Linked DNA regions of Astyanax mexicanus. The protein of the gene in region 1 binds, or shares a complex with, the protein of each later gene. Links are inferred from orthologs where the notes say so. Each region holds a gene or a part of one and is shown in the gene's direction. Other genes may lie near its edges.

Region 1 (7,341 bases):
CTGACAATGTCCGTAGAAGAACACAGAAGTTTGTCGAGGACGCCAAGCTCTTTGGTAAAGTTAAATGTGTTTTATAGGCATTATAGACTACATGTTTTTTCATAATTACAAATTACAGGTTTTCTCACTTGGTTTAGATACAGTCGATCAGCCTAAACATATTTGTTGTCCAAATTAAAATTAGCACTTAAAACTCACAAATCTTTTTTTTAATATATATTTATTGCAGAACGAAAATATAGTTGCGCCTTGCTATTGACTGGTGAAAGTTTATTAGCAACATTACTGGTAACCATGTAGATCAAGTGTACAGTGTATACATATTTAGGTTAGAATTATACATGATAGATTTTAACATAATCAGAATTATTTTGTAGTAGTAAATCAGTTATTTTCTAAAATGAATACATTTAAAAAATGTATTTCCTCAACTGCCAGTCAGTGTTAGATCAGTTCTAATTCATACCAATTGAATTATAAAATGACTGTAAAGCTTTTATTACAGCTATTTATAACCACTAATCAGCAGTAGTTTGTTTTGATAATTAATATTTTCTGTCTCTTCTTCAGGGATTCAAAGTTTTTGTCGGGACCTAGTTGAAGTAGCTGACATGTTGGAGAAAACTACAGGGAGCACAGAGACAACCAGTCTGACTGAAAACCTGGCCCAAATCCAGGGAAGACTACAAGAAGTTTTCACCAAACATGGACTGGAGAAGATGGAACCTGTGGGGTCCACGTATGACCCTTATCAGCATGAGATAGTGTGCCACACTCCAGCAGAAGGAGTGGAGCCCGGTATTATAGCCGTAGTCAAGCAGGACGGGTACAAACTTCATGGGCGCACTATTCGTCATGCGCATGTGGGCATCGCTGTAAAAACCCAGGAGTCTTGATGACCGGTGTGGTTTTTTTTATACTACCCCGACTTGAAGCTCTTGGAACAGTGCATGACTGATCTATATATGCGCACACTGTTCAGCCATAATATTGACACCACAGACAGATGAAGTGAATAACATTGATTATATTATTGCAGTGACACCTATCATGGGGTGAGAGTTACACATTAGACAACAAGCGAACAGTCAGTTTTTGAAGTTAATCTGTTGGAACTGAGAAAAAGGGCTGTGCATAGGGAAGGAAGGCCAGGCCAGGTTTAGGTTCAATACCACAGATGAGCTACTACAGCACAGATTGCTTCGAAGGTTAATGCTGGTTATGTCTTGTGAAGTCCATACCCAACAAACACAGTATTAGGCAGGTGGATTTAATATTATGGCTTATTGGTGTTTCAGCTAATTCAGTCCCTGATATGATGGTTTATTTGTTTCGTTTTTTGCAGTGTTAAATACCTATGTGTTCTTGTTTATTGCCATGTACAGATTTATGTTTTTGTCTTTATTTAAAACATTCTGTAATTTTGTTTGTTTGTTTATTTTTTCCCCCTTTTACTATTTTTTTCTTTGATTTTGTAATGAGCGTTTTTGGGAAGTCAACACTGATACAAAACTGTATTTATATGTATAAGATGATTCAACCACAATGTAATACAACTGTATTACACTTCATGGTACCTTAATTTTCAGAACTATAATACCTCATTGAACCTTGTGATTGGGAGGTATTGTGTTTGTTTGGGACCCTGTTACGTTTACAACATATTCTCTAGCAGTACAATGTGCAATCCAAATGTCTTTGTACTGTAACTTCTGAGGTTAGCATTCTGAAGGCATTACATAGAGTGAGAGGATGGCCTGAAAAGCCTCTTTGTAAAGGTTTACTTAATAGTGGTCACACTATTACTGACATACTGACAATTTTGGGATGTGTCATGTTTTGTGCCTTAATGTTAGATCAGCAGTGCCCAAAGAGCAGACTCTATTTAACATATTCTAATATTATAAAAAAATATATGTCAGAAAAATATAGCGTTAGTGCACCTTACATTGTACATATAAAGTGCATATCACAAAAGAGAAACTTGTCACTTTCTACAGTGTTAGATATTTTTATATATATAAATAATTTAAGTTATAGAAAGTGAATTGTAATATTATGTGTATATATATATATATCTCCTCACAGCCATGTGTCTAGTTTTTTCTTGTAGTGTGCGGACACTGAGAACTCAGATGCCTATAGGAAATGTATGTGTTTAGTTGTGTAGTATGTGGCATGTTCAGTACAGCATTACTTTTGCTTTTTGTTGTTTCATTAAAACAGCTGAAACGTTATCCTTGTAATTTTTAGCTGTTTTATCTTTAAAATCTCCCAAAGGTTTTTTTTTTTTTTTTTTTTTTTACTATTTTCAAATTTGATATACAAGTTTAATGTTTGTTTCAAATATTTATCAGATCATCCAGGAATACTCTTACTCTAAAGTCTGTAGTCTTAAATGTAATGTGCCATTTTGTATTGCTAAAGTGTTCTTAATTTTAGTGGTATTGAAAAGGCTTAAATTTCCCCATAACTGCAGGAATATTTGGTGTTGTGGGTAAAAAGTTCAACATATTAAAGAAAATAAACGAAAATAAAAACATATTTACATAAACTGTAAATCCAGATTTAGCTAATATTGCTAATCTTATGTCTCAGTTTAATATATTAAATATTTTTTATGAAGTGAGAGCAGTCATAGTTTATAAATGTTTAATTATTATGATTTAATATTGTTATTACACCATGTTACTATGAATAGAGTTACAGGATACAATAAAGTTTTGACAGGTGTAAACACGTATGCTGTAAATAAGATCTAACTTTAAGAGGCTGGATGCAGCAGAAACAGCATTTCAGCTTGTTGTAGTCAGGTTGTATTTATCAGTGCTGATAACAGATGATAATTCAAAGTCACAGAGAAACAGTCATCCTGGTAACTATACCACAAACATTGTGCTCAACGACCGATTTAAATATTTAGGGATCAATAATTAGTGCTTGATGGCTAAGAGCAAGAATTTAATTGGTTTAATTGATTGGATGATTGACATGTCTGCAGCATTACCCATATACATTGCTATAAAAAGCAAAACCAGAGAAATTGATTTTGAAACTGAAGTGGTCTCTTTATTTGTTTCAAATATTAATTATATAATATTTTGACAGTTGATCTCTGTTGTACGATTGGCTGATGGACGAAATGATTGACAGTATCCTCGCTTATTCGCCACGCCCTTTGATTCTTTGGCCTGCATTTACATGTACTACGCATAGACATAATACACATATATGCCGCATATTGGAGCTGATTATCAGCGGGGCCGCCATATTGGATGGGTCTCCCATGCGCCCCAAGTGCCTTTGTATTGAGGAAGGTTTTTAATACAACTATAATAATCACAACTCTAGCCATTTTTACCCGATTTTCACACGGTTGGTTTGTTACATACTGCAGAGATGTAGTTATGATTCAGACACACATTACAAATACCTGCTTTTAAGCTGAAATACGTTGTATTATGCTCTTTAACAAAGACATACGTGGTATGGAATATTAATGTGTATAAATAAGTGTATTAATGAATTAATTTGATATTTTAATGAAGAAAAAAGTTTTATTGTTAATTTGAAATGGGAATAAAACATAAATACACACATACATACACATAAAGTATCTATCTATCTATCTATCTATCTACACAGACCCAACCAATATGGCGGCGATGCTTCAGCCCATGATGAGGTGTCTATGTATATTATGTCTACATTTATTTTTTTTATTGTGGATTTTCTTGCTCTTTTTGAATTGATCTTTTTTTAGAAGTGAAGAGGTTGGGTGAGGAAATCCCCTTTAAAAACGGATATATATTTTATTTTTTTTTGATGTCCCTTTATTTAACCATACAAATTTTACAGTAATTTTAATTATAATTTTAGGTACATTTTATATTAACAAAACTAAGTGTATTGATGTTTTGAAGCTTTTAGATTTTGTTTGAATCCCACTTTTCTTTTTTATGTTTGTTTAGGTTTGTTTATCTGTGTTTTTGTTTTTATGTGCTTGAGTTGTTGGTTGTATATAATGTGTATTTGACCTAATATTGTATCTGTTTTAGGCTGTTGAGTTGTATTGTATACAACATTAATTAAACAAAAATGTTTATTATGTCTATGGTACTTCGGTAACTCCAGGTTCAGTCCTCCGTTCACTAGGGGCGGTCATGAACAGAAACTGAGTGCAGGCTGGCGACAGAGCGGAAGGGTCTCTGGTGGCAGTAACGCAGCTCCAACACGTGTGTTTGTGCTGCTGCGCGGCGAAACACTGCATTAAAAACCCAATAAACAGTTTATCTGCCGTTATTTCACAGTGTTAAATATGACGAAGATAAAGAAGGAGAAGAGCGCAACTGAGGAAGAGGCTGGAGCCACAGAGAGATCCTACCAGGATTTAATAGCCAATATAAACCCCATCGCGAACCCTTTAGCCTCGAGAAAACTCAGCAAAAAGCTTTATAAATGCGTCAAAAAAGGTGAGAACAGCAAACAAACATTCTATTTTCAGTCCCCAAAAGCTAACAGACGTATATAACACTTATAAAAAGAACGAGACAGATCCTGAGTGATCCTGTAATGTGTAATTTTTTATTTTGTTTTGCAGCGGCCAAGCTGAAACAGATTCGCCGGGGAGTTAAAGAAGTGCAGAAGTTCATAAACAAAGGAGAGACTGGGTAAAATACAGATTATTTTAATCTAAAGTCAATCTCAGTCACTTCTGATACTCCTAACTCATAACTGACAAGCTATTCATACATTTTAAACCCATAAGAGCCCAGACCAATTTCTGAATATTGATCATTTTTAAAATTGAATTTGATAAATTGAATTTGCAGCTCTTTCATGTAACTTAAAGGACACAACAACAATTTACTCACTTATTGTTTTCTTCTTGAAGTCAGGTCAGAACTAGTTCTATGAAAAGCAAAACATTTTATTTAAGCCTTTAAACTGTTGAAATGCTTGGAACAGAAAATGCATTGTATAAATGAGCTATTTTTGTCTCCAGCCCTATCCCATTTCTCCTGTATTTTGTAAATAAGATCAGAAAAAGTAACATCCATTCACCCACTATTCTGCAATGTGTGTCACATAGGGACTTCTTGAGTTAAAATGATGGACCGGGTGCTTTAAGGAACTTTACTCATACGTAACCATGTGCTCTTTTGGCTCAATAGCAAGGAATTAAAGTGTGACTGTAGAAGGTGGGTTCACTCCATTTTAGATCCTGGAGTTCTCACTGTTCTGCAAAATTCCCAAAACAAGAAAACCTTGCATTGGCTGGGTAATTGTGCCAAGGGTCAGTGTTCGACCACAAAGTGTTTAAAAATAGATTAGGTTTTTCTCTTAAACAAGACTGACAATACCTGACTCTACCTATTTTTTTTTACAAAAACAGTTGATCTGTGCGCTCTGTTTACTCTCTGGAGGAGTAGATGCTACTTTTTTCCAAAAACATATGACAGTTGCCATAGACATTTATTAAAAAATGTGATAATTTATTATACAGTTGAGCAGTAAAACCAACCAAAAGCCTTAATTCTAAATGAAAATGTGAAAACATGAATGAAAAATACAGAAAAGTTAGTTTAAATTAATTAGCCACAAGTTGTAGCACATTTCTAGCCATCTTTATGGAAAATTTTGGTGACTAAAATGCAAATAAAAAAAAACTAATTAAATTCTAACATTAAACAATTATGGAATATTTATAGACTACAGCCTTCATTACCCTGCTAAAGAAATCGTGGAGATTAGTATAGTGAAGGTAGCCACCACCTTGGAAGCTATTAAATAAACAATTTTCTGAGGACTGTTAAAGAAATAACATTTGCGACTTTTGTTTTCTGTCCTTTTCAGGATTGTGGTGCTTGCTGGAGATACACTTCCGATTGATGTTTACTGCCACTTGCCAGTCATGTGTGAGGACAGAAACCTTCCTTATGCTTATATTCCCTCAAAAGTGGTGAGTGTGACCATGTTGGGTGTACAGTTTATGATGTATTTTAAGCTTAACAAATTACTTAGCAACTTGATAAACAACTATTGATATATGACTGTGATGCTCTTTGCAATAGTTTGTGACACACCTGCCTTTCATTTCATCTGCAGGATTTGGGTTCCTCGGCTGGTTCAAAGCGTCCCACCTGTGTGATCATGATCAAACCTCACGATGAATACAAGGAGTCTTATGATGAGTGTCTGGAGGAAGTCTCTGCCCTCCCCAAACCCCTCTGAGTGTGTGCTTGTCTGCATTGGTGTCATTTGAACATTTATTGCCTTATGTTGATGTTTGGCAGCACAGTTGTAAATGTGCTGTGTGGCCTGGCATCCTGATGGGCCTCACAGCTTTATGGACATTTTGTAATACCAGCAATCCCAGGAATTGCCATTCAGCTGAAAGAATGACCATATGATTTTCATGTTTCTTTTGAAACCTGTTGACTGTATTTTGTGTACTGGTGTTAAAAACAGACAGCTACTTTATGTAGTTTTTCCAGAAATGTTGCATTTTGCTTTCATTCTTTATTTTGACTCTAAAGGATATGTTTGTGTTGAGATATCTGAACTATTTTGAAGTAAAATCTATGAAATGATTTCAACAGTGTCAGTTTTATTTGTTCTGAAATAAGTCATTCACACTAACACACATACTGAGTATTTTATTTGCAGAATATGCTCTTAAAATAATAGTAAAATAAAAATAGTGAGTTTTCACAGATTCTTGATTCTCATATTAAGTTCAGGGCTTTTGACTTGGTCATTGTATGACATTGGTCTTTTCAGTGTTTTCCAGTCATTCATGTATAGAAATATGCAAACATTGAGCAACACTTTAGCAGCTGTTGTTCTTAATAATGGGATAAGTCTACACTAAAAAAATGAATAAAACCAGGATAAAATATTTGAAAGAATTTAGTACACAAAACTCAAGTCAACTCTCAAACTATGGACACTTTGTTCACTTAATGTACAGGTGCTGGTCAACGAATTAGAATAATTTGAAATAGTGCAATCATGAAATTCTTTGAATGCATTTTTTGTGCAGAAAGCAAATCAGGTGTTCACCGCACCTGTCCTACTCGTTAGACTAATCACAGAACTCGTTACCTGGAAAAAAATTTGCTCAGCTGAGCTTTCCAAAAGGCCCATTTAGGCCATTTAACTGTGACACTGTTGTTTTATTGAATTAGAATAATGGAGAAACCGTTTCATTGAATTAGAATAATTTTTATTATAATTACAATCATCACTTTCTCAGTATTTTGTGCCTGCCCCCTTGGCTTGTATGACTGCCTGAAGTCTCCGCGGCATCGATTTGACCAGCTTGGCGCAAGTTTCCGC
Region 2 (7,283 bases), on another chromosome or scaffold:
TTATTTGGGTTGTGGGTCATTCTTAGCACAGCAGTGACACTGGAGTGGTAGTGTCATAGATAACATGTCCACCTGGGTTGAACACTGCACATGGGGCCTAGATGGGACCTGTATGAAATTAAGATGGGTTGTAATGATTGTGCTAGTACGAGTGGATCCGACAGAGCAGACTCTTGATTTATTTATTTATTTATATGTATTTGCTATCTTTCTCCAGTTTTTCTGAAAGTGGCGGTTTACACACGGTTGCCTCATCTGTCACAGCTTTTCATACAATCACGCTCATAACGCAGCGATGTGGGCTTCACGAGGCAGTGCTGCGAGCAGGTGGGTGACAGGCAGTGATCAGCGTTCGTTTGTTTCTCTTCATCACGTTTAAGACTGATAAAACACACAGCGACTCAGTGAGTCACGAAGACAAACAGCTGAATCACAGCCTGGCTCAGGTAATGACGACTATAAAGGAAACGCGTTCGAGCCAGATTGACGTATTTAAATAATGAACTGGTTTGTTACCAGTCATGGGAACAGCTTCTGCCTCGTTAGATTAGTCAGATCTTCCCACAAATCCAAACTCAACTTGAGTACAAGTACAAGCAATTGGGAGAAAAGAGTTTATTTAGGTTAATCACTCATCTGCATGTCCATTTTTGTATGAAACAAACAGGGTAAGTTTCTGAGACAAGCATTTATACTGATAATGGAAAATCTCCATTCAAAATATTGTGCAGTCCAAAATTGGCTTAATCCCTGACTAGAAAACTAACCCATTGTGTTTAGATGCAATATAATGAGGGCAGCTGGTGATCTACATGGGATATTTGAAGCAGAGGAAGGTTTTAAACAGTAAATACTGAGTTGAAGTCACACCTGAAATTGAGTCCTTGGTTTATTATAAGTGTCAACACAAAGTACAGGTGTGAACAGGTGTATTCAGTAGGCCTATGTCTCGAGGTGCATCATAATGCCATCACGTAGAGACATTTATGACCACATTAGCCAAGTTCCGATATCCCACTGGACACTGTCCACACAGGTTAGCAGGTAACACTACAGTAACAAGCTAATGGATAAAGTTGATACTCATGGCAGCAACACAAGCTTAACTAGCAGCCTAATCTGAATTTAAACTGAGGACTCCCTCTGAATAAAATTTGAATTCTCTTACTATAACTAATCTCTCTTCTAGCATAAATTATGTGAGAAATTTGTGACAGGATCACCCATGGCGTGTGTAAATGGAGTCTTGGAGGGTGAGGACAATACATGCCTCCTCTGATATGATATGAATTCAGACTTCATCCAGCCAACATGTTCGGAGGAAAGCGTTGGATCCTCTCTTCTGATACATCTGCCAACAGACACCTGTGCTGGCTAGCATCACATTGAGGATGATGGAGGAGAGAGCGCCACCTACTGTACCCACCCAGAGACAGCATAGACAAATGTACTCTCTCAGACTCCGGCTGCTGATGGCAAGTCTTTTTAGCTCAGCTAACATTACTATACTAGCTCTGTACAGCTTGTATCTTTTAGCGGGAAAACAGCCAGCGGTTGTAAACTGACACAGAGTGTGTTAATTGCTGCTGAACGCTTTATTTTGTTATATGAGAATGGTGTAAAAATTAACATGAACCTAACATTTATCAGCTAAACTTCTGAACAGCACAGTAAATGCATGTATATACAGGTTACATGGTCCCACTATATCATGTGGTTTCCTCAATATGCTCTATGATAACTCACAGCCTTGGTGTATATACAGCGTATATGTATGGCTGGCTTTGAGCCGCTGTGAGTAGACGTTCAGAGCTTTTCGCCCACAGATCATGACATTCACCCCTAGCCGTTAGGGATGCTCTTCAGAGACCCGCTCAACATTCGGCACGCCCCAGTCTGAGACGGACCCATTTAGCCTTAGTCACGCAGTCTGGATTTATCCTCTAAACGGAGGAAGAACTACAGCCCAATACTCAATACCCAGCAATACCACCAACCAGACCTATCTCTCTCTCACTCTCCCTCTCTTTTTCCATCTCTCTCTCTCTCCCTCTCCCTCTCTCTTTTTCCCTCCCTCTCTCTACCCCCTTTTTTTCCACCCCCCCCTCTCTCTTATTCTCTCTTCACATTTCTCTCTCTCTCTTTCCATCCCCCTCTCTTTTTCTCATTCTCTTTCTTCACATTTCTCTCTCCCTTTTTTCCCATCCCCCTCTCTCTCATTCTCTCTCCCTCTCTTTCTCCCCCTTTTTTTCTATCTCTCTATCTCTCTCATTCTCTCTGTCTTCACAGCTTTCTTTCTTTCTCTCGGTTTCTCTCATCAAATCTCTCTCCTACTCTCTCTTTAATTCTTTTTCCATCTCCCCCTCTCTCTTTTCACATCTCTCTCATTCTTTCTTTTCACATCTTTCTCCCTCTTTTTTCATCCCTTCTCATTTCTTTCTCTCTCTTCATAACTATCTATGTCTCTCTCTCACTCTCTCTTCACAGCTTCATCTGTCTCTCATTCTCTTTCTCGTCACAGCCTTTTCTCTCCTCATAATCTCAGCTTTGTCTCCCTTCGTCTCCCTTTCTCTCTCTCTCTCTCTGTCTCTCTCTCTCTCTTGCCATCACTCCATCCTGTGTACAGAGTGTGTTCGTGTTCCCACGCAGGACGCTGACAGCTGCCCGAGGCGCCAGCAGAAAAACTGACAGCTCAAAAACACAGAAGAAGAAAAAGAAGAAGACGGAGAGGAACACAACTACTGCTATTTACAGATGTGGTCTACTTGTGTGTGTGTGTGTGTGTGTCAGTCCATCTCTCCTGACTGCAGTTTAGAAGCAGCTGCTTCACCCCCTGAGAGTACAGCAACTACAGCCTCACGTCAGTGGAACACTGCTGCCCCCTGCTGGAGAAACACATACACATATATACACATACACAGAAAATATTAGAATATCATTAAAATTACTTAATTTCAGTAATTTGGTTTAAAATGTGATACTCATATGTTATAAATGAAGACCCAAAAGTTAGTACGTCAGAAAATTATAATATTATATAAGACCAATTGGTACTTTTGGCAATGTGGGCAGTGTGATGCTGGAAAACCATTGAACATCAGTAAGTTTTGCATTTCATTTGGAAATCAAGGGACCAGAGTTTAGAGAAAGAGCGGAGAAGCACACAGTTCAGTGATGTTCTGTAGAGCCACATCTGCTGGTGTTAGTCCACTGTGTTATATCAAGTTCAAAGTCAGTGCAGTGTTTTCCCAGAAAATCTTACAGCACTTCTTGCTTCCCTCTGTTGACAACTTTTATGTAGATGTGGATTTCATTTTCCAGCAGGACTTGGTACACTGCCCACAATGTCAAAGGTGCCAACAGGTCTTATATAATGTTCTAAATTTCTGAGATACTGACTTTTGGGTCTTCATTTATAATATTTTGAACCAAATTACTGAAATAAAGTTAATTTTCGGAAAAATAATCTAATATTTTCTGTGGTTTTCATTGGCTGTAAGCCATAATTACAACAATAAAATAAATAAATGCCTAAAATAAATCGCTCTGTATATAATATAAAATAAATTATAATTCTGCATGTGTTCCTGTATAACTTGAATATTTTTTATAAATTATTTACAATGCAAATTTATAGTATGGAGAAACAACACATCAACAAAACATGATTTAAATATATGATGAATGATAAATGATAATAATAAACGGATAAAATAATACATAATTATATATTATCATTTTATTATTATTCTTTACTGAGGGAAATATATCCGGAGGGTAGAGATACGGGACAAATCCAATGATTAAAAAGTGTAAACAGTGCTTGATATTAGACCACAGAAATGACAAAACAAAATACATAAATACCAACACAAATTTCCCCATATTTTACCTCCTTTTTTCTCCCCCTCTTTTCCCCTTTGTCACTACCCCTCTCCGCTGAGTTCACTTTTTTTAAGTAAAATATATGTACTTATTTATTTAAGTTAAGAACTGTAACAGTGCCCCCTGCCGGACACCACTATACTCTGAAGTTGTAGTTATAGGTTTACGACACTCTGTGTTGCTTAGCGGTAGCGGCGGTTCCCACGTGCGTGCCGGGAGAAAGAGCAGCGCGAGGAGTGCAGTTCAGTTTTTTACAGTTTTCGGTTTAATTTTACTCGGATTCTTCCTCCCCGCGAGTCTTTGAGCTTCAGCTGCTTCTGCCCGGGTTCAGGTGAGTCTAGCAGCGGGGAAAATCAGAAGCTGAGAGAGCGTGTCCGAAAATCCGGATTAAACTCCGTGTTTAGCTGAGATTTACTACATTCAACAGTTTAATACTGAAGTTTTAATCCGGATTCACGCATTTTAGTGGCAGCGGTTCTTATTTAAAATGCGTGTTTAGAGTGATTAGAGCTGTAGGTTAACGTTAGCTTGGTGTAGCACTTTGATCCGAAACCCGGCAAATCGTGCACCATTTAGCTGGTTAGCTATTTTCCTGCCACGCTCTCTGTAGACTGTTCATAAGTTTTTAAGTATTATTCTTTTAGCATGCAATAGAACTTGTACTGGTTTTATTAGTTAATATCTTTAAGTAGTACGTTTGATTATGTGAAGCTATTGAATCCTTTAATCATTAATTTATTAAATATCCTTTTTTTTAAACATGGTTGACTGATGTGTCGTTTTGAAGATATATAATGTAACTAATATTCGAAACAATACATTTCCTCCCTACTGATATTGAATAGAAAACGTTTTAATGTGTGTTATTAAGTAGATCGTTATATAATGCTTGAGTTTTGCTAAATTAGGTTAACTAACGTGGAAAAACGTGGGTCTTTTAAAGCAGGCGTTGTCCATGGCTGCCGAAAGGGTCCTTGAGACGCAGTATCTGGTATGGTTCACAATTCGATGCAACACCATCGCGATAACTCTCTTAACCATTCAAACTCCTGTAACAATTCAAACTCTTAAAGCGCGTGGGTCTCGTCTGCCCTTGTTCAATCGGAGAAATATAAAGCGAAGTATTTAACTCGGATCAGGGATTAGTTTTCTTTAGTGTGGGGTGAAAGGGAAGAAGAAAGGGCGACAGACGTCGCCATGTGTTGCCGCTAACATGCCATTTTATTTACTACGTAAACCCGCCCGTGGTCTTACACTTGTCTCTGTCTTTTATATGAATATTGATAACCTGCTTAATGTTAAAATTGAGGTAAATCCTTAGAATGACGTGTAATTACTGTGTTTTCTTCTGCTTGGTTGCACAGTATTATGTTGCACAACTACTTTTACAGGTTTGCGCTTTTAGAGTTAGTCATTTCTGTATTGTACTGTGCAAATGAGTGTATATATCCTAGATTTTTAGCTCTTTTTTACCTGTTTGGTATCATTTTATGTTTGACTTCTCTGATTTACCTTTATAATCTAATAAAATAGTATTTCTTATTATTTCATGTGAGTGAGTAGACTATGTCGCTGTGTATGAGACAAATACACTTTCAAAATACTGCTCTGGAAAAATTGAGACCGCTTCAGTTTCTGTATCAGTTTATCTGATTTTGCTATTTATAGGTATATGTTTGAGTAAAATGAATGTTGTTGTTTTATTCTATAAACTACAATTTCTCCCAAATTCCAAACAATATGCCATTTACAGCATTTATTTGCAGAAAATAAGAAATAACTAAAATCAGAAAAAAGATGCAGAGCGTTCAGACCTCAAATAATGCAAAGAAAACAAGTTAATATTCATAAGATTCATTTTAAGAGTTCAGAAATCAATGTTTGGAGGAATAACCGTGGTTTTTAATCACAGTTTTCATGCATCTTGGCATGTTCTCCTCCACCAGTCTTACACACTGCTTTTGGAAAACTTTATGCCACTCCTAGTGCAAAAATTCTAGCAGTTCAGTTTGGTTTGTTGGCTTGTGATCACCCATCTACCTCTTGATTATATTCCAGAGGAAACTTGTCATTTAAAAGTGGTCTCTTATTTTTTCCAGAGATGTCTATTTAACCCTCTATGGCTTAGTGTTGCCTGCATGCAACAAACCAACTTTCTGTTTTTTGGTTATTATACCTTTCCATACCATACTTTACATATTGATTTACTTACCTATTACTTACTTACTATTTATCTTTAATATAATGCTACTTGGCATATCATTGTCCAATACAGTGAGGCAAAGCAGTGAGTCATAAATAAAAATATGTATATGTTTAATGCTGGGTGGTAGGACAAAGTACATCATGGTATTTTTTATTTTTTTTTAAGATTTTAATGGTTTTTACGGTATGTCACGGTGTTATTATTATTTATTAAGCGTTTTTTGCATTACTGGGCTTGTGCTAAATAAATGATTCTGTACCTAGGACCAATTCTGGGCTTGTCTGGGGGAGCAACTTTCCCCCCAAGCTGTGGCTCAATCGTGTAATTCCATTCCTCACTTTTCTGAGTAAATATTTGTTTATATCTGTTTGCTGCTGCTTTTCTATTTTACTCGGATAAAAATACTCAAACAGTGAGGAACAGTAGCAGGAGCTCCTCAGATAAAGTGCTGTTATGTAAAAATTCTGCATCAGAGGGGAAGGTATACCGGATAAACCGATATACCGCCCAACACTATGCCGCAAACACACTTTTTTTCCCGTTTTTGTTCCAAGAAGATCCAAAAAGATGGTAGTCTCAGTATGAAAATTATTTCAAGCACTAGGAGGCGAAATTGCTAAACAAAGTAAATTCAGTCAAACTGTCTTTTTTTTTTTTTTTTTTTTAAATATACTCTGTTTTTAGGTTTGAATTCCTGAGTATGTCTTTCCGTGGAGGCGGTGGCCGAGGTGGTCGTGGTGGTGGTGGCGGTGGCTTTGGAAGAGGAGGAGGAGGTGGAGGAGGAGGCTTTGGGAGAGGTGGTGGTGGTGGTGGAGGAGGCTGGAGAGGAGGAGGAGGCGGTGGCGGTAGAGGAGGTGGACGAGGAGGAGGAAGAGGCGGCTTCAACAGATACCAGGATTTTGGTCCTCCAGACCACGTAGTCGGTAAAGACGATGATTAAGACCTAGTTTATTTTCTGTACTTAGTATTAACATTGAACTAGCAGGTCATACAGTGTGAAATAATGGTAGCTGATGTTTAATTTCAGTGTTTTGTCGGTTGCAGCACTGGGAGAGTTCATGCACCCCTGTGAGGATGACATTGTATGTAAGTGTGTGGCGGAGGACAACAAAGTGCCCTTTTTCAACGCCCCTGTCTACTTGGAGAACAAAGAGCAGATCGGGAAGGTGGACGAGATCTTCGGCCAGCTCCG
Region 3 (7,840 bases), on another chromosome or scaffold:
AGCTGCATGCTGATCTTCAGCATATCAGTATATTGTGACACTAATTTAAAACCAAAATACAGCTAATAAAAAAAATACAAAATATCCTGATACTTTGATATAACAATATATATATATATATATATTTGTGTGTATATGTTTGTGTGTGTGTGTGTGTGTGTGTGTGTGTGTAGGGTTTGTGGAGCTCTCTCCCGAGGAGTTGAGGATGGAGTACTACACCAGCAGAGCTTCTGGAGATCTACAGTCTTACGTAAGTACAGACTGGGTAGTTCGGTCTGAGCTGGGGTTCAGGTGGAGCTGTGGTTTTGGGTGAAGCTGTAGTTTGGGTGGAGCTGTAGTTTGGGTGAAGCTGTAGTTTGGGTGGAGCTGTAGTTTGGTCTGAGCTGAGGTTCAGGTGAAGCTGTGGTTCGAGTGGAGCTGTGGTTTTGGGTGAAGCTGTAGTTTGGGTGGAGCAGTGGTTCAGAAGAGCTGTAGTTCAGAGACAGCACTAGTTTGTGTGGAGCAGTGGTTCGGGTGGAGCTGTAAATTCAGAAGGAGTTGTAGTTGAGGCGAAGCTAAAGTTCAGGTGGAACTGTAGTTTGGATGGAGCTGTGGTTTGGGTGGAGCTGTGGTTTGGGTGGAGCAGTAGTTCAGAAAGCACTATTTCGGGTGGAGCTGTAGTTTGAGTGGAGCTGTGGTTTGGGTGAAGCTGTCGTTTGGGTGGAGCTGTGGTTTGGGTGGAGCTGTGGTTTGGGTGGAGCTGTGGTTTGGGTGGAGCTGTGGTTTGGGTGGAGCAGTAGTTCAGAAAGCACTATTTCGGGTGGAGCTGTAGTTTGAGTGGAGCTGTGGTTTGGGTGGAGCTGTGGTTCGGGTGGAGCTGTGGTTTGGGTGAAGCTGTAGTTTGAGTGGAGCTGTGGTTCGGGTGGAGCTGTGGTTCGGGTGGAGCTGTGGTTCGGGTGGAGCTGTGGTTCGGGTGGAGCTGTAGTTCAGAAAGCACTATTTCGGGTGGAGCTGTAGTTTGAGTGGAGCTGTGGTTTGGGTGGAGCTGTAGTTTGAGTGGAGCTGTGGTTCGGGTGAAGCTGTCGTTTGGGTGGAGCTGTGGTTTGGGTGGAGCTGTGGTTCGGGTGGAGCTGTGGTTCGGGTGGAGCTGTAGTTCAGTAGTGTAGATGTGATGATCTGACGTGTGCTGTGTGTTCCAGGCGAACTCCGTACAGCAGCTGGCCAATCAGTGGAGGTCCAGAGTGCAGGAGCTAAGGACCATGAGCTCCTCCACCCGCACCACCATGGTGAGGAACCCTGCAGAACCAAATACAATCTTTTCTACAAGTTACACTCTATACATCCACCCATCAAACATCTCCTGGTTTCTACACCCATTATTAGTGGTGGTGTCTGATCTGTGTTTGTTCTGCAGATATCAGAGCTGAACAATCCGGGATCTTCGGGTGGAGGCTTCTCCTCTCCATCGTCAGGGTTCGGTTCATCTTCATCATCATTGTCATCATCAGCACCTGGATTCGGATCAGGTGGTGAGTCCACAGATGAATTTCCCTTAGTAATGCTACTATAATCTTACATTTACTTCAGTATTGCTACTATAATCATTAAATTGCCTTAGTAATGCAACTATATTATACACTGACCTCAGAATTGCTACTATAATCATATATTTACCCCAGAAATGCTATTATAATCATACATTTACCTCAGAAATGCTATTATAATTATAGATTTACCTCAGTAATGGTATTATAATCATATGTTTACTTCAGTAATGCTACTGTCATTATACATTAACCTCAGCCGTTCTATTCTGATTATACATTTACCTCAGTAGAACTATTATATTCATAGATTTACCTTAGCAATTCCATTATTATCATACATTTACCTCAGTAATTCTACTATAATCATATATTTACCTCAGTAATACAACTGAACGCATACATTTACCTCTGTAAAGCTACTATAACCCTATATTTACCTCAGTAATGCTACTATAATTATATATTTACCTCAGTAATGCCACTACAATCATACATTTACCTCAGTAATGCTACTATAATCATATATTTACCTCAGTAATACAACTGAACGCATACATTTACCTCTGTAAAGCTACTATAACCCTATATTTACCTCAGTAATGCTACTATAATTATATATTTACCTCAGTAATGCCACTACAATCATACATTTACCTCAGTAATGCTACAATAATCATACATTTACCTGAGAAATGCCACTATAATTGTACATTTACCTCAGAAATGCTACTATAATTATACGCTTACCTCAGTAATGCTACTATAACCACATATTTACCTCAGTAATGCTACTATAACCAGACATTTACCTCATTAATGCTACTATAATCATGAATTTATCTCAGTAATGCTACTATAACCAGACATTTACCTCATTAATGCTACTATAATCATAAATTTATCTCAGTAATGCTACTATAATCCTACATTTACCTCAGAAATGCCACTATAATTATACATTTACCTCAGAAATGCTACTATGATCATACAATTACTTCAGTAATTTTACTACAAACGTACAGGTACCTAATGGTACTGTAATTTTACATTTACAAATGCTACCATAATACATTTACTTCAATAATGCTATTCTAATCATAAATGCTACCATAATACCATACTACCATACCATACTACCATATGCTACCATAATACATTTACTTCAATAATGCTATTCTAATCATAAATGTACCTCACTAGTGCTAAGCTTTAATATATATTTTTTTCAGGTTTTGGATCCAGCGCCCCTCAAAACGGTGCAAGTGGATTTAGCTTTGCTCCAGCCAGCCCCGGGTTTACAATGCCCAATTCCGAGTCCAGTTCCACCGGGTTTGGATCGACAGGTTCCCAGCCCAGTTCCACCGGGTTTGGTGGGTTTGGTTCGCCTGCTCCTTCCTCCACTCCTACAGCTTCTTCCTTCTCCTTCGCTTCTCCGGTGGCGAGCAAGAGTTCTTCTGGAGGTTTCGGATCCGCCTCCGGGTTCAGCTTCACCTCCTCTACAGCTCCAGCAGGGGGCGGCTTCGGCTCCTCCGCTCCAGCAGGGGGCGGCTTCGGATCCGCCGCTCCAGCAGGGGGCGGCAGTCTGTTTAGCTCGGCCGGTGCCGGCGGGTTCGGTGGGGGTCCAGCGGCTGGTGCAGCTTCTGGAGAAAACCTGTTCACCCCTCAGAGTGAACTCACCCCGGATGAGCTGAGGGAGTTCAGCGCTAAGCGATTCACACTGGGTCAGATTCCCCTCAGACCGCCGCCCGCGGAGCTGCTAACGGTCTAAACGCCAGACTCACAATTTTACAATAAAACACACTTAAACTGATTACCCTGTTTACTACATACATATTCATCAGCCCAGACTTTAGCTTTACAGTACAGCTAACGAGGCTAATGTGGCTAACAAACAACTTAATCATTAGACTGTGGAATTAATAAACACTGCTAACATAATTTATTCCATGTTTTAGATAACCTACAGCCTAAAATATAACGCAGTGTACGAATATTTAAACATGCTAATTAGTGGGGTATAAGCTTCCATTACTTTTTGGCTATGTTAGCCTCACCGCTCCAGTGCTAACTTACTCTTTAGAAGATTCCAGGACTTGTTAGCTACGTTAGCTTTGATCAGAACTTGGCTGATCGATTACTCTTTGATTAATGAGGAGCACACTGAGAGTATTAGGTTTCTGTAATTTAACAGATTGTTATTTCATAGTAATGTAAAGTTTATTTTATTTGTATCATTTGTATCTGGCATTTTGTGGGCGGGGCTAATGTACAGCTGTATCATAATAAAGTTGTTTTTTTTAATAAACAAGTCCTTAGTTTTTGATTTGTGTTAATAATGAGTGACCAATGAATCATGAGGTAGGTAGGTGTTTCCTATAAAGTGTCCATTCTGAATAGATTACACAACCTTTCAAATGAAAATATTAATATAAAATTCTGCTGGATACCAGGACATAGTGGCTTCACTGGAAATGAAAAAGCAGACCAGGTAGCAAGAAGAACATCAAAGGCCGAAACAGCGAACTGCAAACTCCCACCAACAGATATAATGCCCCTAATTCACAAATACATCAAAGAGAAGTGGCAAGACGAATGGAACACCCAAACAAACAGCAAACTGTACGAGCTCAACCCCAAAATAGATCATTTTACCAACGCGTATATAGACAATAGATGGGATCAAGTTATTTACTCAAGATGCCGCATTGGCCACACCAGACTGACGCACTACTTTTTACTGAAGGGCGAAAGACCCCCACATTGTGATGTGTGCCAACGAACTATTACTGTAAAACATATATTAACCGAATGCCCAAAATACTTACCTACAAAACAAAAAATCTGCCTGTCAGATACACTAATGGACATTTTCAACAAAGACAATGCAAACAAAGTACTGAACTTTTTAACTATTACCAAACTGAGAGTCCACATCTAAGGACGAGATCATAGAACCTTGTGAATAAACAATACCTATCCTGCCACGAAATAGCTGATGAGCTGATGTGGCGTTAAACTCAACCAACCAACCAACCAACCTACCAACCAACCTATAAAGTGTCCAGTAAGTCAAAACAGTAGGTTTAGTGTTATATATGGATGTTATATGTAATAAAGTGGCCAGAAAGACAAGGTCGGTAGGCAGGTGTTTCCGATAATTTGGCCAAAATACAGGATAAGTATGTGTTTCTGATAAAGGGGCCAGAAGGACAAGGTAAGCATATCTGATAAACTGGCTAGAAAGACCGTATAGGTAGTTGTTTCCGATAAAGTGGCCAGAGGCGCAAAGTAGGTAGTTGTTTCCGATAAAGTGGCCACAGTGCCTCTGTGCCTTTAAGGGATCTCGAGCTCTTGTCCAATCACGTTGTGTGTTGATTGTGATCCGGGTACTGAGCGCTGGGTTGATGCGGAGCTGTGGTTGGTGAGGTGAGCGCGCGGCGGTATATGAAGTGAGGAGTGATCTGGGAGTGATCTGCACGCGGGCTGAGATGAGCGGGGTGCAGGGCGCGTGCACGCTGCTGCAGGGAGTGTACGGGTCGGTGAGGACGCTGCAGCAGTTCGCGGACAGCGTGCAGTACCCGGATGGCCGCGGGGCGGCGCTGCTGCGGGACACGGACCCCGCGCGCCTCGCCGGTCTCATGCGGGGACTCGTGGTGTGCACGGACTCGCGCCTCCCGCGCGCCGCCAGCCGCGCACAGGTAAATTCACTGTGTTTACTGATACCTGAATCGCCCAGGCTCACACGTGGCTGGGTTTACCCTCTCTCTGAGTCTTCAGTGACGTATGCGGAAGTTTATATGTTGCCTGGCAACGTGTGGGCCATGTGGTTGAAGTTAAGCTCCTCCTGCTGCTGGTTTCCCTGGTAACAGAAAACATGCAATAAGTTTTTAGCTTTAGTGCTTCTTTAATGCTGATGATGGAGAAACAACCATTATTTAACCTCATCTTACGGACATCGCTTAGTGTGTAAACTCTAATACTACATAAAATATACTGAATTGTTTAATAAAGAAAAGTGTTAAACAACCCAGAATATGTTTTATATTTTAGATTCTTTAAAGTATCTCCTCTTGTTTAGATGATCAGTTTTGAACATCTCTGCTGGATTTTCTCAGTCAGTTTTATGAGGTAGAGTCTCCTGGAATTCATGCTTTCAGTTAACAGCTGTGCTGAACTCATCAAGAGTTAATTACTTGAATTTCTTGTCTCTTAATGTAAAGTTTGAGAGCATCAGTTAAAGTAAAGTAGTGAAGAGGTAGAGTTACAGGTATACAGTGAATAGTGAATATTTGAGTAATGTTCGAATCCAGATTATGAGAAGCAACAACTACTCAACTAAATAAAGAAAAAAAAATACTGTACGATAAAATGAAGGTCAGTCAATCTAAAAAGAAGAATTTTGAGAGTATCCTCAAATGTAGTTAAAGGAAAGACCATCAAAAACATTTTATTGATGGAACTGGTACTCATCAGGACCACTTCAGTAAAGGAAGAGTGAGAGTTTCCTCTGTTGTACAGGATAAGTTAATCAGAGTTTCCAGCCTCAGAAACCACAAGTTAACAAACAGCTCCTCAGATAAGAGTATCTAAATACTTCATCATGCTTCGTAGATCACTTCAATATTCATTTACTATGTAGGAAAAAATATAAAAAATATTAAATGAGAAGACGTGTCCAAACTTTTGACTGGTACTGTACATGCTCTATAAAGACGATATAAAATGTTTGTAAAAAGTTGTTAAATTCCATCTCACTTCCTGTTCTCCCAGTTGGCCACGCTGCCCGAGGTGTTGGCATTTGTGCTGAACCACATGAAGAGGAAGAAGAGGAGGAATGTCCTGAACTTCGGTTATCACTACAGCGACCGCCAGGGGAACTGGGACCCCTTCAAGTTCCACGGCTCCCTTTCCCAGAGTGCGGCCTTTATCAGCGGCAGTGAGCTTTGGGCCAAGATAAACCAGCGACTGGGTACCGAAGTCACCAAGTTCCTGCTGCAGGAGTGTGCTGTCTTCGTTACAGCACCCCCTTCCTGCCTGGTGCAGCTCTGTGGCGTGCCTCTGTATGACATGGTACCTGTACGTAGCTGGTGTGGGTTTTTTCTCACATCTGGTCCACCTGTCACCTGGAAAAGGAGTGACCAGGGAAGAGATCTGAAGAACAGAACTACTGTGAGCAGAAGCAAGAGAAAGAATGAAAAAGAACGGATTGAAACAGATGGTTCTACCAGTGGAACCAAGGTTAGGACTCGCAAAACAAGGAAAATTAGGCATCATGCTAGAAAAACAGACTTACCCACTGAAGAGAACCAGCCTAAAGCATGTAGTACAAGAGTGAACACTGACATAGAAAACTCCAACACTGAAAACACCAAAAAGAGAAAGAAAGAAGAAGAAAATGATGATAATGAAGTAGAAGAAGGAGAACAAGCGAAGGACGAACGTAGTCAGGCCAAAAGGAAATGTGTAGACAATGAAGAACAGAGTAACGTCTGTCTTTTAGATCCCATAGAGACAGCTAAGACAGAATCTCAGAAACCAGAAAAGGTGGAGCCAGCCTCGACAGGCCACGCCTCCATGCAGGGTGTGTCCAGCTGGAAGCCAAGTGACCAACCGCCTTCGTGCCCCTCCCACTGCTTCATCCGGGTACTGAGCATGCTCTATTGTGGCCGTGGCATGAAGGGTTTTCTGCTTAACAGGAAGGTCCGGGGTGGAGTGGGCGGGCCTAAACACCTGCAAGGGGCGGAGCTTGTAAGGATTATTTTCCTCCAGGGAAACACCTACTTGTCTGGAGCAGAACCAAAGCCCCAGAAGCTTCCAAGACGCTTCTTCAGCATGGTGCCCATCTTCAGCCAGTTAATAAAGAAACACAGAAAATGCCCCTATGCTCACTTTCTGCGTAAGAAGTGCTCAGGTGGCAAGGGCAAGGAGGACATGTTGTCGCTGCTGGTCTCCCACTGCTCCGCCTACAGGGTGTACCTGTTCGTCAGGGAGGTCCTACGCTACGTCATTCCAGACCAGCTCTGGGGCTCTGAGCACAACCTCCTGACCTTCCTGTCCCAGGTGAAGCACTTCCTGCGGATGGGAAGGTTTGAGAGGCTGTCGCTGGGGCAGGTCATGTGGAGGATGAGGGTGAGCGACTGTCACTGGGTCGGACACAAAAAACGTAAGTTCTGAGGATTTTAATTAAATCGTTTTCTGTTGTACCTTTTATCTCACCCCAAGTCTCGGTCAGTTTGCCTCGCAGCCCTTTCAGATCCCATTCTACACCACATTCTGTCCTCCTCCACTTTTCCAAGCCCTTCATACTGTGGTTC

Evidence for each region. The genes of interacting proteins can lie anywhere in the genome.
Region 2: nhp2 (region 1) and gar1 share a complex: the UniProt entries of both Homo sapiens proteins name them as parts of the H/ACA small nucleolar ribonucleoprotein (H/ACA snoRNP) complex. The link is inferred for Astyanax mexicanus from reciprocal best matches to the Homo sapiens genes NHP2 and GAR1.
Region 3: nhp2 (region 1) and tert share a complex: the UniProt entries of both Homo sapiens proteins name them as parts of the telomerase holoenzyme complex. The link is inferred for Astyanax mexicanus from reciprocal best matches to the Homo sapiens genes NHP2 and TERT.

The regions. Positions count from the first base shown.
Region 1 is NC_064424.1:10,696,859-10,704,199, forward strand, and holds nhp2 (H/ACA ribonucleoprotein complex subunit 2-like protein), read left to right. Parts: upstream 1-4,137; 5' UTR 4,138-4,318; coding exon 4,319-4,472; intron 4,473-4,600; coding exon 4,601-4,670; intron 4,671-5,856; coding exon 5,857-5,962; intron 5,963-6,108; coding exon 6,109-6,234; 3' UTR 6,235-6,593; downstream 6,594-7,341. Other genes in the region: grpel2 (grpE protein homolog 2, mitochondrial), read left to right, coding at 1-54, 571-896. UniProt on the Homo sapiens protein: Required for ribosome biogenesis and telomere maintenance. Part of the H/ACA small nucleolar ribonucleoprotein (H/ACA snoRNP) complex, which catalyzes pseudouridylation of rRNA.
Region 2 is NC_064417.1:31,157,785-31,165,067, reverse strand, and holds the start of gar1 (H/ACA ribonucleoprotein complex subunit 1), read left to right. Parts: upstream 1-4,049; 5' UTR 4,050-4,216; intron 4,217-6,775; 5' UTR 6,776-6,791; coding exon 6,792-7,014; intron 7,015-7,135; coding exon 7,136-7,283. UniProt on the Homo sapiens protein: Required for ribosome biogenesis and telomere maintenance. Part of the H/ACA small nucleolar ribonucleoprotein (H/ACA snoRNP) complex, which catalyzes pseudouridylation of rRNA.
Region 3 is NW_026040049.1:365,019-372,858, reverse strand, and holds the start of tert (telomerase reverse transcriptase), read left to right. Parts: upstream 1-4,606; 5' UTR 4,607-5,014; coding exon 5,015-5,224; intron 5,225-6,296; coding exon 6,297-7,689; intron 7,690-7,840. Other genes in the region: nucleoporin NUP42, read left to right, coding at 174-250, 1,179-1,265, 1,394-1,508, 2,756-3,294. UniProt on the Homo sapiens protein: Telomerase is a ribonucleoprotein enzyme essential for the replication of chromosome termini in most eukaryotes. Active in progenitor and cancer cells. Inactive, or very low activity, in normal somatic cells.